3 linked regions of the Canis lupus familiaris genome follow. The protein of the gene in region 1 interacts with the protein of each later gene in a pairwise test. Links are inferred from orthologs where the notes say so. Each region holds a gene or a part of one and is shown in the gene's direction. Other genes may lie near its edges.

Region 1 (7,581 bases):
GGAGTCCCAGGATCGAGTCCCACATCGGGCTCCCTGCATGGAGCCTGCTTCTCTTTCTGCCTATGTCTCTGCCTCTCTCTCTGTGTCTCTCATGAATAAATAAATAAAATATTAAAAAAGAATTTATGGGATGTCAACCTCATCCTCGTTATAAAGTTTATCATTAGGTTTCCATCTAGTGTTTGGAGTGGCCATGGGTAGTTTTGCTTACATGTGAACTTCAAGACTTAAACTATGTGCTTGTTTTCTGAACTTTTTTTTTTTTTTTGCTTAATATGTTCCCAAGATTCACACACATTGTTGTGAGTTCTTCACAGCTGTCTAACATTCAGCTCACTTCCTTTTCCCATCCATGCTCACCTCCAGGGAGCCATCCTGGGACAGTAGTAGTAGCTCTTTCTCCAGCTTCACTGCCTTAGTCTTTGGGGTTGGATAAGTCCCTCCCTGTCTCTTTCTCAAGTTACCTGCAAGAGAGGGCTATGGGCTGGAGGTTGCTGTCTCCCCAGCCCTGCCTTGCCTCTCTCCCAGTCTGAGGTTGAAGCTTTGGCTGAACAACTGAGTGAGGAAGAAGAGGAAGAGGAGGAGGAGGAAGAAGAAGAGGAGGAGGAAGAGGAAGAGGAAGAAGAAGAAGAAGAAGACGAGGAATCAGGCAATCAGTCTGACCGGGTAAGGGCTCGCAGCGGGCATCCTGTGGAGCAGGGGGGACGCTGGGATTGGGGCCAGAGGTCTGAGTCCTCAGAGGGGAGGAGAGGTCGTGGGCTGGGGCCCAGGCTCTCTAACTCTTCCTCCATCCCAGAGTGGCTCCAGTGGCCGGCGCAAAGCCAAGAAGAAGTGGCGGAAGGACAGCCCATGGGTAAAGCCGTCTAGGAAACGGCGGAAGCGCGAGCCTCCCCGGGCCAAGGAGCCACGAGGTGAGGAGGCTCCTCAGCTTCTGGGTCTGCTCCTCCAGCCCCTCTCCCAGCCCCCAGAGAGCGTGCACAAACACACGCTCACGCATGTACTCACGCATGTACCCACGTGTCCAGGCACCTATGAGCTCGTGCTCTCACTCTCTCTGTCTCTATGTCAGGAGTGAATGGTGTGGGCTCCTCAGGCCCTAGTGAGTACATGGAGGTCCCTCTGGGGTCCCTGGAGCTGCCCAGCGAGGGGACCCTCTCCCCCAACCACGCTGGTAATTGCCAATTGCTGGGATGGCGAGCCACTAGGGGGCAGCCTCTGGGCTGGGGGGTACCGGGAGGAGGAGGAGGATCCCACTGGAGCCCAGGTGTCTGTCCTTCCATGGCCAGGCTTTAGGGGTTCTAGAGCATGAGGGAAAAGCAGGGCGGGGGTGAGAGGCCCCACCAGGGGTCCCCATGGGTGATGGGGATGGCCTCGCTCAGCGCCCTTTTCCCTCCGTCCAAGGGATATCCAATGACACGTCTTCACTAGAGACGGAACGGGGGTTTGAGGAGTTGCCCCTCTGCAGCTGCCGCATGGAGGCTCCCAAGATTGACCGCATCAGCGAGAGAGCTGGGCACAAGTGCATGGCCACAGAGAGTGTGGATGGAGAGGTGGGCCTGTGAGCTGATAGGAGAGGTGCCGGCAGTGGGGGGGACCCAGCCCCAGGCCCCAGCCTCACCCTCTTCCTGCCCGTTCACACTGCCACAGCTGTCGGGCTGCAATGCTGCCATCCTCAAACGGGAGACGATGAGGCCATCAAGCCGCGTGGCACTGATGGTGCTCTGTGAGACCCACCGTGCCCGCATGGTCAAACACCACTGCTGCCCCGGCTGTGGCTACTTCTGTACAGCGGTGAGTAACCAGTGGGGCAGACAGGCTGCGTGCCCCATGGGGGAGGGGTCTCCCGGAGCCTGAATGCCTTGTCTTCCAGGGCACGTTCCTGGAGTGCCACCCTGACTTCCGTGTGGCCCACCGCTTCCACAAGGCCTGTGTGTCCCAGCTGAATGGCATGGTCTTCTGTCCCCACTGTGGGGAGGATGCATCTGAGGCCCAGGAGGTGACCATCCCCCGGGGGGATGGGGTGACCCCACCAGCTGGCACTGCAGCCCCTGCCCCCCCACCCCTGGCTCAGGATGCCCCTGGGAGAGCAGACACTTCCCAGCCCAGGTACTGGCCTTCCCATTCCCAACTATCTGTTCCCTGCCCAACACCACTGCTGGTACACATCAGCACCTTCTCCCACAGTGCCCGGATGCGAGGGCATGGGGAGCCCCGGCGCCCACCCTGCGACCCTCTGGCCGACACCATCGACAGCTCAGGGCCCTCCCTGACCCTTCCCAATGGGGGCTGCCTCTCAGCCGTGGGGCTGCCACCGGGTCCAGGCCGCGAGGCCCTGGAGAAGGCCCTGGTCATCCAGGAGTCAGAGAGGTGAATGAGGGGTGGCTCTCAGGCATGGCGATGAGGGCTGGGGCTGAAAGGTGGGTTCCCTTTCTGAGACACCTACCCCTCTCCCTCACCATGGCAGGCGGAAGAAACTCCGTTTCCACCCCCGACAGCTGTACCTGTCAGTGAAACAGGGGGAGCTACAGAAGGTGATCCTGATGCTGTGTGAGTATTCCACTCATTCATTCATTCATTCTGCAGACCTTGATGGAACACCAGACCATACATGCCAGACCCCGGGCCCAGGGCTGGGGGTACAACAGTGAAGGTCATCATCCTTGCCCCGAAACACGGAGCGTGGAGGGGGAGACATACTCACAGATAACCCAGGATGATGGGGACAGTGGTGACGACAAACACGTAGGTGCTGTGTTTATACACATCCACTCACACCAGCCCTGCCAGTGGAAGCCCAGAGAGGTTAACTGCGTTGCCCAGAGGGCCCCCCACCCCACATAGCCTTCCTAGAGGAGGTCCTACCTGCCCCTTAGTCACTTACCACTTGTCCCTCCTTCTTCCGGTATGGCGGGCTCTCCCCACAGTGGACAACCTGGACCCCAACTTCCAGAGCGATCAGCAGAGCAAGCGCACGCCCCTGCACGCGGCCGCCCAGAAGGGCTCTGTTGAGATCTGTCACGTGCTACTGCAGGTCAGCTCGGACCAGGCCCTCTGTCTCGTGGACCAGGCCCTTGCGCCCCCTCTCTTGCCCAGCCCTTCTGTGATGCCAGCCCACATGCCCCCTCCTTACAGGCTGGAGCCAACATCAATGCAGTAGACAAGCAGCAGCGGACCCCGCTAATGGAGGCTGTAGTGAACAACCACTTGGAGGTAGCTCGCTACATGGTGCAGCGTGGCGGCTGTGTCTACAGCAAGGTGTGGTGACCGGGCCAGCTGGGACCTCGGGTCAGAAACAGGGTTTGAGGTGCCAGCAAGGGACTCATCTGCCCACATCTCCCTCAGGAGGAAGATGGCTCCACCTGCCTCCACCATGCAGCCAAAATCGGGAACTTGGAGATGGTCAGCCTGCTGCTCAGCACAGGACAGGTGGACGTCAACGCCCAGGTGAGTGGCCTGGCTGGCTGCCCAGCCAATTTCCTCCGGGCCCCTGGCTCAGCCCTGGCCTTTGTGCCTCCTGTCAGCCCCTGCTGATCTCCAACACTTCCATCACTCTGTTCCAGTCTGTCCCTATTTCTTGCCTTTTCTTCATTTGTATTTTTTTTTCCACTTTTTTCTTGTTTGCTTCTTTCTATGTTTTTGGAATGATCAGTTGCTGCCTTAATCTCTAGGAATGTGTGGCGATGCTTCTTATTACCTCTTAGTGTGTCATATGTTGGGTCTGTTTTAGCCCATTACTGTCATTTTTCAGTCTTTGAACTGTCCTGTGGTTTGTCCAGGAGGAACCCCATGAGCCTGGCTCCTGTGGCTTTTGGTCCCACCCAGCAACTTCTAAGAGCATCCTTACCTCTTAGTACATTTCCTGCCCCAGACTTGATCTACCATTTCTCTAAGGGACTCTGGTTCCTTTAAACAGGAAATGTTTTTTAGAGACGTGGTCTGTGTCCTCAGCAGTGGTTATTGCTATTGGGTTACCATATCCTAGGACTTTCGAGTGGAAAGACCTAAAAAATATGTGCTTTTTGGAAAGAGAAAAATTACTCCACAACTTTGAGCAGTAGACGCTATTAGTCACATGGGGTAGATCAAGAAGCTGAGACCTAGAGACGTTCAGAGACTTAGCCAGGGTCCTGTAACACATGAGGGGTGGAGCAGAGACCCCTGTTCCGAGTCCAGCTCTAGGGCCTGTGCTCTAGACCACGCACTGCTTGGGTAAGCTAGGCCAGCTGCTGGGTGGCCCCGGGCAGGGGACGGCAGCCCCTCACCCTCCTCCCTCTCTCCCGACCCACAGGACAGTGGGGGCTGGACGCCCATTATCTGGGCCGCAGAGCACAAGCACATCGAAGTGATCCGCATGCTGCTGACACGGGGTGCTGACGTCACGCTCACGGACAATGTGAGAGTCTGGTGGGGGTAGGGGAGATGGGGTCTGAGCAGAGAGGAGACTGGGTTCAGGCGCCCACGGCTTAGACCCACCCTCACCCCTCCCACCCACACAGGAGGAAAACATCTGCCTGCACTGGGCTTCCTTCACTGGGAGCGCGGCCATCGCTGAGGTCCTCCTCAACGCCCGCTGCGACCTCCACGCCGTCAACTACCATGGGGACACGCCCCTGCACATCGCAGCACGGGAGAGCTACCACGACTGTGTGCTGTGAGCCCCTGCCTGCCCCGCACCCTGACACCCTGCCGCCGGCTCGGCTCGTGGCCCCAGGCCCCACGGGCTTCCCGTCCCCTCCCAGGTTGTTCCTGTCACGTGGGGCGAACCCGGAGCTGCGGAACAAGGAGGGGGACACAGCGTGGGACCTGACCCCCGAGCGCTCCGATGTGTGGTTTGCGCTGCAGCTCAATCGCAAGCTTCGGCTTGGAGTGGGGAACCGGGCCATCCGCACCGAGAAGATTATCTGTCGGTGAGCCCTCTGTCCCCTCCCCAGGCTCCCCTGAATCCCCAGAGCCAACCCCTAACTAGGATGTCAGATACAGTAAATTAAAAGAGCGTTAAAGGAGGATTTCAGATGACCAGTGCATGTTTTTTTAGTGTTAAGAGCATCCCACATGGCACTGGGGACTTATCTATGGTAAAAAAAAAAAAAAAAAAAAAACTATTTATCTGAAATCCAGTTTTCGTGGGCTGTCCTCTAGTTTATTTGACCACCTTACTCCCCCCACCCCGGTGAGCCCCCAGAACCACCCCCTTCCTCCCACGGCCCCAGGGACCTCTCAGGCCTCTCCTTGCACCTTGTGGACCCCCTCACCCCAGCCCCCATTCCCCTTGTGTCAGGGATGTGGCTCGGGGCTATGAGAACGTGCCCATCCCCTGTGTCAACGGTGTGGACGGGGAACCCTGCCCTGAGGACTACAAGTACATCTCAGAGAACTGCGAGACATCCACCATGAACATCGACCGTAACATCACCCACTTGCAAGTGAGCTGCCAAGCACAGCTGGGCAAGTTGTGGGCCAACGAGCCACCTGGCCAGGGGAGTGGGGCTGGAAGGGACCTTGGGGGTGGGCCTGCATCCACTTGGGAGAGGGGTCCTTTCTTTAGGACACATGAAGGTCTACGGGCTCATGTTGGCCCTGGGTACCCCTGTAATTAGCATTTTGAATCCCCCTCATCCTGGGACCATCAGCCCCCACTGTTCTAAAGCAGTGATCTTAGAGAAAGGACAGTGGTTAGGGGTCAGGGAGCACTGTGGGGATAGGGCTGCTTCTGAGGATCGGGCTAACCCCCTGCCTCCTGCGCCAGCACTGCACCTGTGTGGACGACTGCTCCAGCTCCAACTGCCTCTGTGGCCAGCTGAGCATCCGCTGCTGGTATGACAAGGTGCGTGTGCTTGCCCCATCCAAGCCGCCTGTCCCTCTCTTCCTCCCTCATGAAAAGAGGGCAGGGCAAAGCAGGGGTTGTGGGGAGGGTGCTAGGGGGAGATGGGCCTGTGCCAGCTGCATGCAAATTAAGGGCTTGATGGGGTTCCTGTTGTCTGAGCTCCACATGTGTGGCCTCCCCAGCCTGTCCTCCCTCTCTGGTGGGTTGGGATCCGTGGTGGATTTTTCTGGGGGTTCCTTGGCAGTCGAGGTGGGCACCAGATAGAAACCACTTACTCTCCCCACCCTCAACCCCAGGACGGGCGGCTGCTCCAGGAATTTAACAAGATTGAGCCCCCACTGATTTTCGAGTGTAATCAGGCTTGCTCCTGCTGGAGAAACTGCAAGAACCGGGTGGTGCAGAGCGGCATCAAGTGAGGACCCCTCCTGCAGCCTGCCCTCACCCCCCCACCCCTGTGCCCCTCAAATGGGGGCTTTCCAGGTCCCTCCACCTAACACCACCCTCCCTCCCCACCCCCAGAGTGCGACTGCAGCTCTACCGAACAGCCAAGATGGGCTGGGGGGTCCGCGCCCTGCAGACCATCCCCCAGGGGACCTTCATCTGCGAGTGAGTAGGGGTCAGGGGGTCGGTGCCTAGCCACAGCTGACTCCCAGGTCTCCCTTGGCTCTCCTCCCTGGTGGGCCTGCCCCTTCACTGCACCTGCCCCCAGCCCACACAGACCGCAGAGCCTGATAGCCTCCTGCCACCACTGCAACATCTCCCCTCCCCTGCCCTGCCTTTCCAAGCCTGGAGACCTACAGACCCAGGTTTGAGCTGTGCTCTGCCACTGGGAATCCTTGGCCAAGTTCTTAGCCTGCTTGAGCTTCATTTTTTTTTTTTTTTTTTTTGTCTCCAAAATGGAGGTAATGATGCGGCCTTTCTGTCCATCTCTGTACGGGCCTTGCTTCTGTCCAGCAATTCTTTCTTTTCCCAGCATCTGTCACCCCGTCCGTCACCTGGCTCCTCCTCCACGGCTCAGTCTTCATCTAGGCCCCCCTTCAGCCCCATTTGCCTATTTAAGGGGCCTCCATCTCTTTATTGGACCATCTCTCAACTTTGTTCAAATGGCCCCTTCCTCCTGGGCCTCAGGCTCCCCACCACCCACTCACTGCTCATCCTTGCCAGAATCTGCCTCTGCCCTCACCCTCCTGCCAGTGCTGCCTCCCAACTACCCGTGCCTTGCCCTGCATCTTGGTCCTCGCTTTGGCTCCCACGACGCTGTCCTCACGTCAGTCCCATGCATCCCTCTTCTTCACCGGCTTCTTTTCCTCTGCTTTCTAAGTGTGGGTGTCCCTGTCCCCAGCTCCTTCCTGGCATTTCTCATGGCCCCCATGGCTCCATCCCTTCCCGCAGCCCTGACACCTCTCCTGTCCTGTCGCCTGGCATCGCTACCACCTGCTGGGTGGTTCCTAGTCCACAGACCTGCCAGGGATTAAACTCACATGGATTTCCCCACCCACACCACATGCCCACAGATACTGAGCCACAGGGGCTCACTGATCTTCCTCTGGCGCAGCTCTGGCCCTTCCCTTTACCTTTCCCTGGCTGCTTCTCCAGCTCATCCCTGGCCTACTGGCCCCCAGCTTCCCCCACATTCGCTGGTCCTGCCTGTTGGTGCAGCTGTCCGTGGAGACCATAGCTGACAGGAGTACACTCTGCGTTGTCCCCTCCCGTGCTGTGTCCCTGTTCCTCCTGCTTCTCACTCTCGGGGCGGGGGG
Region 2 (7,581 bases), on another chromosome or scaffold:
CCGTGGCCGTGGTGGCCTGCAGGCTCTGGGTGGCCACAGAGAACAGACCCCGGGGGCAGCTCCAAACGCCTCTGTCCTCGGACCTGCGACCCTCTGTGCCCGTCCAGTCCAGGCCCCCCAGTCTCGGTCCTGGCGAGGGACCGAGATTTCAGACGGGGACACTGGGGCAGGTCCTTTGGGGTGGTGGGGGAAGGGGGTGAGAGGAGGGGGCCCTGCGAACCCTCCTGTTAAAGGGAACTTACAATGTTCGGGACGCTGTCTCAGGAATCGTGACCCGGTGCCCGCTGGTGCTGAAGCTGAAGAGGGATCCGCACAAGGCGTGGAGGGGGAGGATCAGCTACCGCAAGACGGAGCTGCAGTTCCAGGACCCCTCCCAGGTGGAGAAGGAGATCCGCCAAGGTAGGAGGCCCGGGTTTCTGCAGGTGCGGCTCCGGGGCCGCTCGCTCCCCGTCCTGGCCTCTTCTCTGCCTCCTGGTCCTCGGGCTTCTTGGTCCCCACCAGCGAGCCTGCTGCCTTTCCTTCCAGGCTCTTCCACGGGCTGCTCCTCCTGCCTCGCACACTGCCCCCTCCTGCGGGAAGTGCCCCCCGCAGGACTCCCTGCTGTCCTGGTCACCGCTGTCCCGCTGTCCCGAGGCCCTGCTCTGGAGAGCATAAAAGCGCATTATTAAGCCAGGAGGAGGCCTTTCGGAATGCGGGATGGGGTGAGGGGTCCTGTGACTGGTAACAAACACAGCTTGCGAGGGCGAGGCCTTCCCGTCACTCCCCGGAGCTCAGCTCCCCGAGAATCCCATGTCCCAGGGCCTCAGATGGCTCAGCAGAGGGATTTCATCCAAAGGGCAGACATCCTGCCCCCAATTCCTGTGCTCACCCCTGAATGTAGATGACCACCCCCAGGGCTCTTGCAGCCCTGATACTCCAGGCCTCACTGCCTGTTCCACGGGGCTCTGGGGCTCACTCCAAGAAGTGGAGGAGGCAGGGAGGTGGTGAGGACAGAGGCCACCCTCGGGGACAAGGCCAGGGGACTGGGGAGCATTGTCCTTATGTCTCCATGCTCCCCCCCGAGTGGGTGACCAGCAACCCCTATGTCCTTGGCATGTGTGTCCCACAAATCCTGATATTCACCATCGAAACCTCCCCTCCCCTAGACCATCCATCTCAGTTCTGATTTCCCCAAGCCGTCTAGCCCCCGGCCCCTCGGTGTGGCCCCCGATCTGCAGCAGCAACACTGCCTGGGGGCTCATTGGCCCTGCAGTCTCCGGGAGACACCCCAGACCTGCCAGGTCAGGACCTGGACTTTAACCAGGCTCCCAGATGGGCCACACGCACGCGGAGTGCGAGAACCCGTGCCCAGAGCATGGCCACCTGCGTGACTGGGGGGCCCAGCGCAGTCATCCTGCAAGACCCCTCGGTTCAGAATCACTAAGAATTTCAAGACCGTGAAAGCAGATTAGTAAACCAGGAGGGGACCCTTCCGAACTCAGGGCTCCCCCGTGACCGCTCGGGCCCCATGTGCATGAAGCAGGGGCTGGCTCTGAGGTGTGTGCCCAAGACATCTTAGCTGGTCCCTTGTCGTGGTTGTGAAGTTGACAGCCTGTGGGAAGACTCCAGCGTCCCTACAGGGGGCTGCTCCCAGGAAGGGGCAAGATACCCTTGGTGTGTCTGGTGGCCGCTACCTGCCCGAGGGATGTCACTGTGAGTGACAGGCAAGCCAGGTGCATGCACAGCGGGGCACCTGGGGAGTGATGGGGGGAGTGGGGCGGGGGAGACATGCTCAGCTCTGCCTCCATGTCCTCCTTCCGGCCTTGGGATGTGCTCTGCGAAGCCCTGGGGTGGAGATCCCCAGGATCCCCATCTGCATGTCACTTCTCGGCACACTGAGCCTCGGCTTGCAGGGGTGCTGGAAGCTCCCCATCGATGGCACTGAGGGGCCCTCTTTGCTGACACTTGAGTTTTCATTACAACTGTGTGTGCCTTCGGACATCGGACCCAGGGACCCTGTCCACCCATTGGCCACGCTCTGGGAGGGCGGAAACCGTCCTCTTGCACCAGCAGAGCTCGAGGCCAGCTCAAAAAGAAAAATTCGTTCTGTCTTTGAACCCTATTACCTCTACGGGGGTGCTTGGTGTCCTCAGGACAGGTGAGCTTCCCCCAGGGTAAGCCACGCCAGAGAAAGCAGGCGGCGGTCACGATGTACTTATTGCTGGTCACACACCACGCCATCATTTCCACCCTATCTATCTTTAGGCGGAGGTCCCTATGTCCAGCCCCCATGCAGGGCTTCACCGTTTGGAGGGAAGAGTGGGGAAGAATTTGTGGAAATTATTAACACTCACAGGAAAATATTAAAAAGCATAAAGAGAGAGACTAGAACCCATCCGTATCCCGTTGTGAACATATTGGTATGTTTTCCTCCAGACTTTCAGGGAGGCTGATGTGTTCAATAGCCCCCGAAGTGGCCCCAGAGACCCCTACAACTGCTATTCCTCCGACAGGTCATTAACCTGGACTCTGGGTTTCCCCTCTCTTGGCCTCCACAGCTCAGAACATCATAGCTGGGCAGGGACTTGGCATCAGCCATGAGCTCATCAGTCTTGAGATCACCTCCCCTGAGGTCCCCGATCTGACCCTCATTGACCTCCCCGGCATCACCAGGGTGGCTGTGGGAAATCAGCCCCAGGACATCGGAGTGCAGGTAGGCCTTCTGGAACTTGGGAATGGGCCAAGCTGAAGATGGGGAGACTTCTGGGTCTTCGTGGGGAGCCCCGGGGGCTTTGGACTGCCTCCCTTGTGGTGTTGGTTGACCGGAGACGTACGCACTCTTCCTTTGTGTCGTTTGGTTTTTGTTGTTGTTTTTTGGTATCAGATCAAGGCACTCATCAAGAATTACATCCAGAAGCAAGAGACGATCAACCTGGTGGTGGTCCCCTGCAACGTGGACATCGCCACCACGGAGGCGCTGAGCATGGCTCAGGAGGTGGACCCCAATGGAGACAGGACCATAGGTAAGAAGACAGAACCAAGCTTCCAGAGGATGGGAGGGAGGGGGAGCCTTCTTATATATTTAGAAGGTCCTAGAATCTAGCACTATTAGAGGCAAGTGCTGTTCCCAGCAGGAGCTCCGTGGGCTCAGGGTGCATTCACACACCACGGGTGGGTATCTCCACCCACAGCCAGGGTTAGATGCATGGCCAGAATTTGGAGGTTCTCCACCCTCCTTCCTCTCGTCCCCCGTTTGCATTCACAAACCATTCCGGATGTGGGGCAAGAACTGCCTTATCTGTTTCCCACAACGGTTGGGAAAGGAGAAAGAGCCTGGCCCACCAGCTCCGCCATTCCGCAGGTAAGGTTGTTGCCACCTGACGTGGAAAAGACCTTCCTACAGACCTCAGTGGACATTCTACTGGGCTGATGTTGGGGTGCCGGAGTCTGCAGGATTTGTATTCAAGCAGAACTCTTCGCGGGGAGCTAGGTTCTCTTAAATTTCTTTAAAAAAAAAAAAAAGTCACCCTAGAAGGCATTACAGGGAACTCGGTTTAAGAGTGCGCACTGTCTGGGGTTCAAATCCTTAATCTAGCACCTACTGGCTGTGTATCCTTGGGTAATATATTTAACCTCTCCTGGCCTCACTGTCTTCATCCATGAAATGGGACTAACAGTCCTAAGTGCTGGGTGGTTGGGAGGACTCCATGAAGATGGTACTCAGGTCTGGGCACGTAGAGTTTTCTCAGCAACTGATAGCTGCTATTTCTTTATTAGTGATATTATCACTCAGCATCACTTCTTCACCGATCATCCCGCCTACCCAGAGAGCTGACCCTCCTGCAGATTTGCAGGTCATTCCCCTGACTAAACGCATACTCGGCTTATAATTGCCTTTCCTGCGCCTTCCCAAATAAAGGCCTGGTTTTCCAGTAAGGTTGGAAATGAATATGAGGGGCACACACCTCATGAATAATGTTTCACTCTACGCTAGACCACGCTTGTGCCCCGTTCTCTGTCAACTTCTCCAAGCATCACCAACACACCGCACCAGAGAGAACACTCAGGCTTTGGGTCACCCCGGTCATTGTAGGGCCCACGCTCTTTGTCCTCTCTCAATCCTAGGTCAGGAGGGATGGCTCACCGATGGCCACGGTAGGTAACATCATCGGTTTAGTAGGGTCAGCTAGCTGGATATTAGTATCTTTACAGGAGGGCGGCGACTGGGAGTTAGTGGATGAATGCGGAGTTTCAGTTCTGCAAGAAGAAAACCAATCCTGGCAGAGGGGGTTGCACAACAATGAGTAACTGGATGCCACTGAACTGTTCCCTTTCAAATGGCCCAAACGGTCGCTTTGATGTTACGCGGACTTTGCCACAATTTTTAAAGACACACAGTTGTTTAAAAACAGGATAACTGAAGGTGGAGTGAAGGAGGAAGCATCCTATTCTCATTAGTTGAGTTGTTCTCCTGCCCCCACGCGTTAGGTGTATTTTGCCACAATTTTTTAAAAAGAGAGCCGAATGACTATCTATACCGTACTTCCAAAGGGTGAAAACAGAACAAGTGTGACCACCACCGTAGCAGTGGTTTACATGACACCAAGCTTCGGGAAGGACTGTGAGCCAGGATGTTCGCAGGTGGTCCGCGAGGCGGGTCCTCCACCTTCCACTGCTAAGTGCACATTGTCTACTCGGCCCACTCCGGTGGGACTCCTGTGGCCACCATGGCACACAGGTGGCATTTGTTAAGGTCACCGATGCCCTCCATGCCAACAAACCTGCCGTCGCTCCTCAGTCCCCATCTTTCTCCACCTCGGACACGGTCAGACGGCTCACCACTGCTTCCTTCTTGCCATCTCTCCATCCTTCGCCTTAACGCACAGCCTCTTGGCTTCAGGGTCACGACGCGTGCTCCGTCTCCTCCTTCACCGGCCACCGGACGTCACATTCTTAGTCTTGTCCGGGTGTCTCTTCATTTCTCTGACCTCGAAATATCGGAAACCCAAAACTTGCTTCGGAGATCTCCCCTCTATCACACGTGCTCCTTAGGCGAGCTGATCCGGCCACGGCTTTGAGTCCGTCTGTATGCTGGCAACTCCCAGATCTAAATTTGTGACCCTTACCTTTCCCTAGGCTTGATGTCTCCACTTGGATGTCTATTAAATGTCTCCAGGGTAATGTGACCACAACACAACCCCCGATACCCCGCGCTTCCTCAATTCATCTCTCTCCCATGGCTTCTCCACCTCACTCACAGCACCACACCTGCCAGTTCTAGAGCCAAGTCTGACTCACACGTGACTCCTCCTTCCCCCGCTTCCATGGCTAATTCAGCTGGAGTCCTGGTGACTGTCTCCAAAACTAATACCAAGTCTGTCCACTGCTCTCCATCTGCATAGTCACCACTAGACCAGGCCCCCATCATCTCTTGCCTGGGCGACTCACACCTCTTCCTATAGTCTCCAGGCACTCACCTTGCCCACAGTGCACCCTCCACTGGTTTTTAAATAGGTAAACAAAGTCAGGCCCCTCCTCTGCTTCTACACTAATGTTACCACCTCACATCCATAAACCATAAACCCAAAGCCTTCCGTGACCTGGCTCCCTATGCCTCTCTGATCGTGGTTGTCATCGCTTCTGCTTTGCCCACTGGTCTCCATTGTAGCTGTCGTCTCCAGGGCCTGGACTGCTCTTTCTGCATCCTCGCAGGGCTGGCTCCTTCCTCTCCTGCAGATCTCAGCTTGCCTTGTCCACCCAACCCAACACTGCACCATGCCCCCCTGCCTGCACTCGTTGACCAACACATGACTGGATTTTAACTCTCTGCCTAGCACTTCTCAATATCAGATACTTTCTCTTTGTTTCTTGTATATTACTGGACTAATTTATGTGGCTTTTACCCACTAGAAGGTGAGAGGATAGCCACGAAATTAGAGACTTGCAGTCTTGTTCACTGCCACTTTCTCAATACCTAAAGCAGTGTACTTAATAAGCATTTTTAAAATTCAATAGGAATATGTAATCTACTCAGGAAAGAGTTTAAACAGAAGAAAACTAAGGCATCTAAAAGTTATTGACAGTGCCTTTCTCCATGGCCCAGGAGTTGGGACCCTAGGTGATGCTCATGTGCGGAGGCTGTCGATGGAGGCATGAGATTTTCCCTGCTTGAGTTCTTGGCTTCAAACTGAGACACTGGGTGAGAAGACCCCCTGACTCCAGAGAGGGGGAGAACTCATTGCAAGCCTCACTCTTTATTATCTGCCTAGTTTATCTCAGAATATAGTTCAGCGATCTAGGCTTTCCTGAATGACCGCTGGCTCCAAGGAGGGGTCCTCTCCTCTACTGATGGAAGGTTGCAGGTGCAGGTTCAGAGACCTGTCGGCTCCTGTGGGAACACGACGGTCTGTGTGCACACAAATCTTTTAATGAACGTAAGCTATGCTCTTAATGACAACCTTTGGTAATAGGAAGGCAAAACAGAAGAGAGAGAGAGAGAGAGAGAGAGAGAGAGAGAGAGAAGTTCAACTGCTTGGGTGCCAGGAAGGTTTCAGGAAATGAGAGACCAGATGGCCAGACTTAACCACAAATCAAAAACAAGGACAAAGATAGTAGAAGATGACATTAGATTTCCACCCTAAACAGACAAAAAAAAAAAAAAAAAAACCCAAAAAAAAAACAAAACAAAACAAAAAACACAACGTAGTGGCAATCTGACACCTCCAGAACACAAATAGAAATAGATACTCAGAATTCAAAGCTTTCAATCCAATCTAAGTGGGAGGGTGTGGGGACAGATGGGAGAGACGGAGGCAGAGAAGACGATGTCCGAGGAGACACCCACCCACACGAAGAGGGCAGAGTGAGTCTGTGACAGGACACGCTAGAGGGGGACACAGACACCCCCCACCCTGTACAGCAGGGGATGAGCTGCTGCGGGGAATAGGGTGGAGCCGCTAAGTTCTGAGGCCGCATGCCACCAGGTGTCTGGCACCCAGACACGTTTGTTCAATAGGTTATATGAGGAAATGGTTGGGTTGAGCGAGTGGGAGAGCAAATAAAGACGCAGATCCGAGGGATGGCCGTGGAACGCACGAATGCGGTTTCAGGCACGGGGCCATCAGAGCTCCAGAGGGCTCCACGGGTCTTGGCCGAAGAAGGATCCCAGAGCCTGGCAGCGTTCAAGCACATCTGAGGACCAGACTGACCTTTGCCACTGTCTTTGGCTTCTCACGTCACAGGAGTCCTGACCAAACCAGATCTAGTGGACAGGGGCACCGAAAAGACCGTGGTGAACGTGGCGCAGAACCTCACATACCATCTCCAGAAGGGCTACATGATAGTGAGGTGCCGGGGCCAGGAGGAGATCACAAACCAGCTGAGTCTGGCCGAGGCAACCGAGAAGGAAAGGATGTTCTTCCAAACACATCCGTATTTCAGGTGAGCTTCTTTAGGACAATCCCAGGATGGCCGTCCAGAACCGGCCACGTGGCTGCCAAGTTACAGAGAGAAGCGTGTGCAATTTCTGTGTCCACCTTGACTCTGGGGCGGGGACCAAGAATTTGTGTCTCTGTCAGGTCCCTAGTCGAGCCCAGTGTTGCT
Region 3 (6,257 bases), on another chromosome or scaffold:
CTTCAGAGGAAAGCGTGGTCAGTGTGGTTGGGCTGGGAAGCCTCAGGTGAGTTGGGAATGTGCTGTCGGTGGGGGTGTGGCGGGGAGATGAGGGTGTTTGGGGGGGAGGATGCTTGAGGCAGGTTACATTCATTCAAGGGCATCACATCCCTCCACCCTGAGCCTCACCAGTCTCTTCTTCATTCATTCACCTTCCGGGCTGGTGCAGCTCAAGGGATGGGTGCCCAGCATTCAGGGGCAGGTGCAGTATGGCCTGGTGATGGTGGGGGCATGCTGGGGTGGAGGGGTTGTGGGAGGTTTACCTAAGAAGTCTTCCTGGGGAAGGAGAGCCAGGGCCAAATGTGGAAACCTTATAAGGTGAGGCTCTTAGCAGAGATGGGGGAACCATCCTGGCAGGGGGACCCCACATATCCTCATGACCCCACAGCTCAGCCAATCTCTCATCCTCAGGAGGGGTCTCTGAGTGATGGGAGAATGTGGAACCATGGCAGCCAGAGGAAATTGTCCTTCCCATGGCCGCTGACAAAAGCCCCCTCATTCAAGGGAGGTCAGATTGGTGGGGCTTGCTCTTTTTTCTTTTCTTTTCTTTTTTTTTTTTTTAAGATTTTATTTATTTATTCATGAGAGACACAGGCAGAGGGAGAAGCAGGCTCCCTGTGGGGAGCTGGATATGGGACTTGATCCCTGGACCCAACCTGGGATCACGCCCTGAGCCAAAGGCAGATGCTCAACCACCGAGGCACCCAGGCGCCCCTGGGCTTGCTCTTTCATCATCATGCATGCATTCATTCATTCCTAATTGATTCCTTTGTTCATGCATTCACTCACTCATTCATTTGTTTGGTCTTTATTAAGCACCACTGCGGTGCTATCCAGCAGCAGGGATGGAAGCAGAATAGGGCACGGTCCTCGCCCACATATGACACACAGAGTGGGGGAGTAGACGGTCACACTCCATAAAGCGTTCCTGGTGCTGTGAAAAATGTCTGTACAGAGTATAGGCAGGGTACAAAGTGGGGAGTGGTCACATCAGGAAAAGCGTGTCAGGAAACGCTTCCAGAGAGGAGCTGACCCTAGTGCCAAGTCCCAGGCAGGGGAGGGAGGGGCACTGGAGACAGCGTGGGGCTACGAGTGGCTGAGCACCGCCAGCAGCCCCTGCGGGAACTGGCAACCCATCCATATTTGGAGGGCCCTTCACGGGTTGAATGAACACCTGAAATGACACCATTCACTCAGCACCAACCTGACCCATGTATTTGTAAAAACACAAACACCTGCTACTATAGGAAACGTAGCACATCCAGTTGCAAGGTGTCCCACTGCCTGATTCAGTCAGATCCCTGGCCTTGGGAAGAGGCTCCTGGGGCTCGTGGCTCTCAGGACGGAGCACAGCCCACCTGCATCCCCCACTCCCCCCCCCGCCCCCCCCCCCCACTGCCCAGCCTTATTATTCTGAACACATGAAGCAGTTAAGGGCGGAGAACTAAAGGTCCTAACTGTCCTGACCCCAAGAAGAGGGTCTGAGGGTCTGTGTCCTTCCCTTCCGACCTCTCAGGAAGGAGCCCGGGTGTAATCTGAGGCCCAACCAGTGACAGACTCAGGCTGAGTGGAGGATGAAAGTTTTACATTTCCTAAATATAATGGTTGCTAAGGGAATTGGTTATTCACAGGTAAAGAGGAGGTTTGATTGCTGCCACCCCCCCACCCAGGAGGCTATTGTTTCCCCATAATACATTTCCTATTTGTGCCCGATTCTCCAGCATTAACATTTCTCTGAGGGTGGTGGGAGGGCTGCCTACAACTGTGCGTATCTCCACGCCTCATGGCCATTGTTGAGACTGAGTTCATCGGCATCTGGGGGGTCTGGGCAGGAAGACCATTGGTGTACGGAACGGGGAGCTTCCTGGAGAGGGAAAGGCATAGATGGGGGAGCTGGGGCACCTCAAAGACCCACTTCAGATTTTGGTCCAGGAATGGTCCTCACCTTCACTGTCGTCAGAGGCACAAAACCGCTTCTGACAGGCATCCTGGGATGGCAGTTCATTTACCCATCTCTCCATCCATCCGTCCGTCCATCCATCCATCCACCTGTCCATCCATCCAGTCAGTCGTTCACCAAACCTGTCTTGTGTAAGACCTCGTGGAACTATGATGAGCTCAGGTCGCTGCTCCTGCACCTGATGCTCCTTGCACACGGCTCACCTTGTACCATCGCTGGGTCCTCCACCGGGGGCAGCTTCTCCAATGGTCCGTGTGCCTGAAGCCCACACTCCCCCTTCAGCCCACTCTTGTTCACAAGCCCTCTTTGACCCCCTCTGTCACCTAGAGTCACTCCTTTCCCTCCCCATCAGTACTGACACTATGCTTCACCCACCACATTACCTCTTCCCACTGACATCTGCGGGACAGCAGCAGCCCTGACGTGCTTTCGTGTTTGTGTTCCTCCGCAGATGTGGACACAGCCCTTCATTAATGCTTCCGGATGAACGAATGAATGGTAGGTAAGCTGTGTCTTTGGCAGGATGACGGCAACCCCAACCAATTCCAAACTTCCTTCAGCAACAGGCAGGGGCGTTAAGAAATGCAGGTGTTCTCCAGTTAGTTTTCCCTAAAGTGTCATGGATTTTCTCCCCTTAAATTGCAAGGATAAGCTCGTGCTCAGCCGCACACAGTTTATTTCCTTCTTTGTTTGGAGTTAGCCGGGATTCAGGAGGCATCTTCTCTGGGCTCAGCCATCGGGGTGCACTAGGGGTCCATGAGACTCTCATACCCTTACGCGGTATGAGTCTTAGAGCACCCCAAGTTTATTCACAACTGCTTCTCACGACAGCCCAATCTTGTCTTGCAGAATTAGAAGTGATGGCTCAGAGAGGTTAAGCCCCCATCCGGGCCTTCCAGCTGTGAGGGCGGGCAGGGCCTCTCTCTTGGGTCCCGGCTCTCCTCCCTCCCCCTCTCCTCCCCCCCAACTCAACCGACAGAGCGGCCCAAGAGAGACGCACTCCCGCCCTGCGTCAGCAGGGCCGAGGGGGGCCATGGCCCTCATCCCCTGGCTTCGCTGGAATGAAGCCCCCCCGCGGCTGTCCCCCCGGAGGCCGGCTGAGATGGTGCTGGAGACGCTCATGATGGAGCTGGCGGGGCAGATGCGGGAGGCCGAGAGGCAGCAATGGGAGCGCAGTAACGCGCTCAGGAAGGTCTGCACCGGCGTGGACTACAGCTGGCTGGCCAGCGCGCCGCGGCCCACCTACGACCTCAGCCCTGGCGAGCGGCTGCAGCTAGAGGACGTCTGTGCCAAGATCCACCCATCCTACTGCGGGCCCGCCATCCTCAGGTAACCCCCACCCCCCTCCCAGGCCAGGCCTTGCACCGCAGGCTGCGGCGGTGTGGCTGCAGGGGCAGGGGCCCGAGGCCCCCAGGACGCGAGCCAGGGCCCCTGGATGACCCAGGGACCTGTAAAAGGAGCGGCACCGCAGGCTGCAGGGGTGTGGCAGCAGGGGCCTGAGGCCCCCAGGATGGCAGCCAGGGCCCCTGGATGACCCAGAGATCTGTAAAAGGAACAGGGCAGAAGCAAGACTCTGCAAGAGCCCATAGAACACCAGGCCAGAGCCGGGGTTCAGAGGGAGGCAGCAGGCAGGAGGCACATGACTTTTGATGGGAGAGGACCCCAGGCCTTTGAGCTTTCTGTTCTCCCTGGATTATCATTGCCCCGGATTTTAACACAGCGGGCTCTTTCTCCTTCGTCGGTTCATCTTCCATATTCCCTTCTTAGAAAGGCTTTCCAGATAGTCTTCCCAGAGTTCAGTCTTCAGTATCCTAGTTCACACTAGCATTCGTATTAGTTTGCCTCAAGGGACTATGCGTGCATGTGTCTGCACATGTGCATAAGTGTGTATGCGGGGTGTTCAGAGCCCTGGGGCACTGAGCATTTAGAGATTTAGAGCTTAGGTACAACAATGTCCCTGAATAAAGCTCTGACCCACGTGCCCCAGTCTTGGTTGGATTCATGTTAAAGTCAGAGAAGTGTAGTCCGACAACCAACAGTAATTTCAAAAGTTATTCGAGGTCTTCTTCATCTGCACCTCTCAAACACTAGTAAAGGGATGCAGATCCACCGTAAAACACCTGAACATGCCTCCAATCTTCAATCACCTATCTCTTTAACCAATGTAAGCATCTATTGTACCTCTTTCTTTCTTGGAAAATCTCCTTAAAACTCCTTCTCCAGTCCTATCCATGCCCCTTTGGATCTTGTAGTCTTTTGCACCCTCCGCCCCCTTTCTTCCTCCAGGCTGAGACTCTTACCCAGTTTCTCTTGTTCCGTCCTATGCAATCCCCGCCCCCCTCAAAGTGTACCTACTTCCAGAAGCACCTGGGGACAGGGGTGGGGTGAGTCCTGGGGGTGGTGCTGATGAGAGAATCCGGGCTGGTAAACCAAACCTCATACATACACACATAGGGTCATGATGGTCCCCTCACATTTCCCGATTCTCCATATGGTGGAGGAAACCAGGTGTTCAAGGGACTTGCTAACCAGCCTCCTTCGTGTGGAGCCCTAGGCAGGCACGTTTGAGGCCCAGGAAATCCTCGCCCAGCGGGTGGCCGGGGCTCTGGAGGGAGTGTGGCAGGTGGCAGGGCGGTCATTGCACAGATACACATTTGCAAGAGACCACTAGGGCCTGCGAGGGGGGGGGGGGCGAGGGAGGGGCCCCCCGGGAAGCCTCACTCGGGGAGGCCCAGGCTCCCCTGACTGCCCCGGCGGCGTCTCACCTGAGATCAGCTCAGCGTCTTTGCAGCCGGTGGCTCCGAACCCCCACGGAGGGCCGCTAGGACCCCGGCTTCCAGGTGAGGAAGCTGCGGCCCAGGGAGGCGGGAGGTGGCGGGCGGGGCGGGGCGGGGCGGGGCGGGGCCGCAGGGGAGGCTCCCGGCAGGGAGGGCGCGGGACCCCCGCCCAGGCGCCCCTCGTCCCGCGCAGGTTCCGGCAGCTGCTGGCCGAGCGCGAGCCCGAGGTGCACGAGGTGTCGCGGCTCTTCCGCTCGGTGCTGCAGGAGGTCCTGGAGCGCGCGCAGCGCGACGCCGCCGCCCGCCCCCGCCCCCGGCCCTGGAGCCTGCGCCCCCCCCGCGCCCCCGCGCTGGACCCCCGCGGGCCCCGCGCGCGCGTCTCGCCCTTCGCCGGCCACATCCGCACCGTCTCCGAGGACGTGGAGCGCGACGCGCCGCCGCTGCGCACCTGGAGCCTGCCCGAGTTCCGGGCGCCGCAGGGGGGCCGCCCCGCCAGCTGAGCACCCCCCCCCGCCCCCGCCCCCGCCCCCGCCCCCGAGCCACGGGAGGGAGCGGGCCTTCCTGCCGCCCGCCCCGCCCACAGGCTCAGGGTTAGGGCTGGCGGCGCGGGGGAGCCCCTCACCCCCCATCCCTACCCCCTGCACCCCCATCTCTACCCCACACCCCCATCCTTACCCCCTCGCCCCCACCCCATCCCTACCCTACTCACCCCCCACCCCTCCCACCCCCATCTCTACCCCCACCCCTACCCTCTTCACCCCCTATCCCCCACCCCTACCCCCTCACCCCTCCACCCCTCCCACCCCCATCTCTACCCCCACCCCATCCCTACACCCTCACCCCCCCACCCCTCCCACCCCCATCCCTACCCCCCTCACCCCCACCCCATCCCTACCCCCTTCACCCCCACCCCATTCCTACCCCACTCACCCCCACCTCTACCCCCTCACCCCCTATCCCTCCACCCCCCCACCCCCATCTTTACCTCCACCCCTCCCACCCTATCCCTACCCCCTACCCCTCCCACCCCCATCCCTACCCCTCTCACCCCCACCCCTATCCCTACCCCCTTCACCCCTCCACCCCTCCCATTCCTACTCCCCACCCCTCCCACCCCCATCCCTACCCCCTCACCCCCCACCCTATCCCTACTCCCCTCACCCCGCCTACCCCCTCACCCCATCCCCCCAGCCCTACCCCCTCTCACCACCCCTACCCCCTCACCTCACCTCATCTTACCCCCACTCCTCTCCCCCCTTCCCCTGCCCCCTCCCCCTTCCCCTTTCCTATTCCCCCCTCCCAGCAAGTCAGCAGGAGCTTCCCCTGCCCCGCCCTGGAGAGACTCTGGGTCTTGGCAGACAGTCTTGGCCCCTTTTCTGCTTCTGTGTCAGGAAGGGGGAGACTAGCCCCGACTTTTTGCCAAGACCCGGGTTCTCACCCCTCCCCCATCCAGGGATGTCCTATACTCCCCTCACCCTGAG

What was found. The genes of interacting proteins can lie anywhere in the genome.
Region 2: the proteins of EHMT2 (region 1) and MX2 interact in binary tests that used the Homo sapiens proteins (3 or more experiments, as listed by UniProt). The two-hybrid records come from large-scale screens. The link is inferred for Canis lupus familiaris from reciprocal best matches to the Homo sapiens genes EHMT2 and MX2.
Region 3: the proteins of EHMT2 (region 1) and RD3 interact in binary tests that used the Homo sapiens proteins (3 or more experiments, as listed by UniProt). The two-hybrid records come from large-scale screens. The link is inferred for Canis lupus familiaris from reciprocal best matches to the Homo sapiens genes EHMT2 and RD3.

Annotation. Positions count from the first base shown.
Region 1 is NC_049233.1:1,475,909-1,483,489, reverse strand, and holds part of EHMT2 (histone-lysine N-methyltransferase EHMT2), read left to right. Parts: intron 1-528; coding exon 529-666; intron 667-796; coding exon 797-911; intron 912-1,069; coding exon 1,070-1,171; intron 1,172-1,401; coding exon 1,402-1,550; intron 1,551-1,647; coding exon 1,648-1,791; intron 1,792-1,870; coding exon 1,871-2,106; intron 2,107-2,184; coding exon 2,185-2,367; intron 2,368-2,464; coding exon 2,465-2,547; intron 2,548-2,924; coding exon 2,925-3,031; intron 3,032-3,132; coding exon 3,133-3,255; intron 3,256-3,342; coding exon 3,343-3,444; intron 3,445-4,288; coding exon 4,289-4,393; intron 4,394-4,496; coding exon 4,497-4,651; intron 4,652-4,739; coding exon 4,740-4,907; intron 4,908-5,278; coding exon 5,279-5,423; intron 5,424-5,746; coding exon 5,747-5,824; intron 5,825-6,120; coding exon 6,121-6,236; intron 6,237-6,343; coding exon 6,344-6,430; intron 6,431-7,581. UniProt on the Homo sapiens protein: Histone methyltransferase that specifically mono- and dimethylates 'Lys-9' of histone H3 (H3K9me1 and H3K9me2, respectively) in euchromatin.
Region 2 is NC_049252.1:35,748,590-35,756,170, forward strand, and holds part of MX2 (interferon-induced GTP-binding protein Mx2), read left to right. Parts: intron 1-264; coding exon 265-399; intron 400-2,537; coding exon 2,538-2,692; intron 2,693-2,863; coding exon 2,864-3,002; intron 3,003-7,220; coding exon 7,221-7,419; intron 7,420-7,581.
Region 3 is NC_049228.1:9,727,956-9,734,212, reverse strand, and holds the end of RD3 (protein RD3), read left to right. Parts: intron 1-2,450; 5' UTR 2,451-2,497; intron 2,498-2,848; 5' UTR 2,849-3,032; coding exon 3,033-3,328; intron 3,329-4,969; coding exon 4,970-5,276; downstream 5,277-6,257.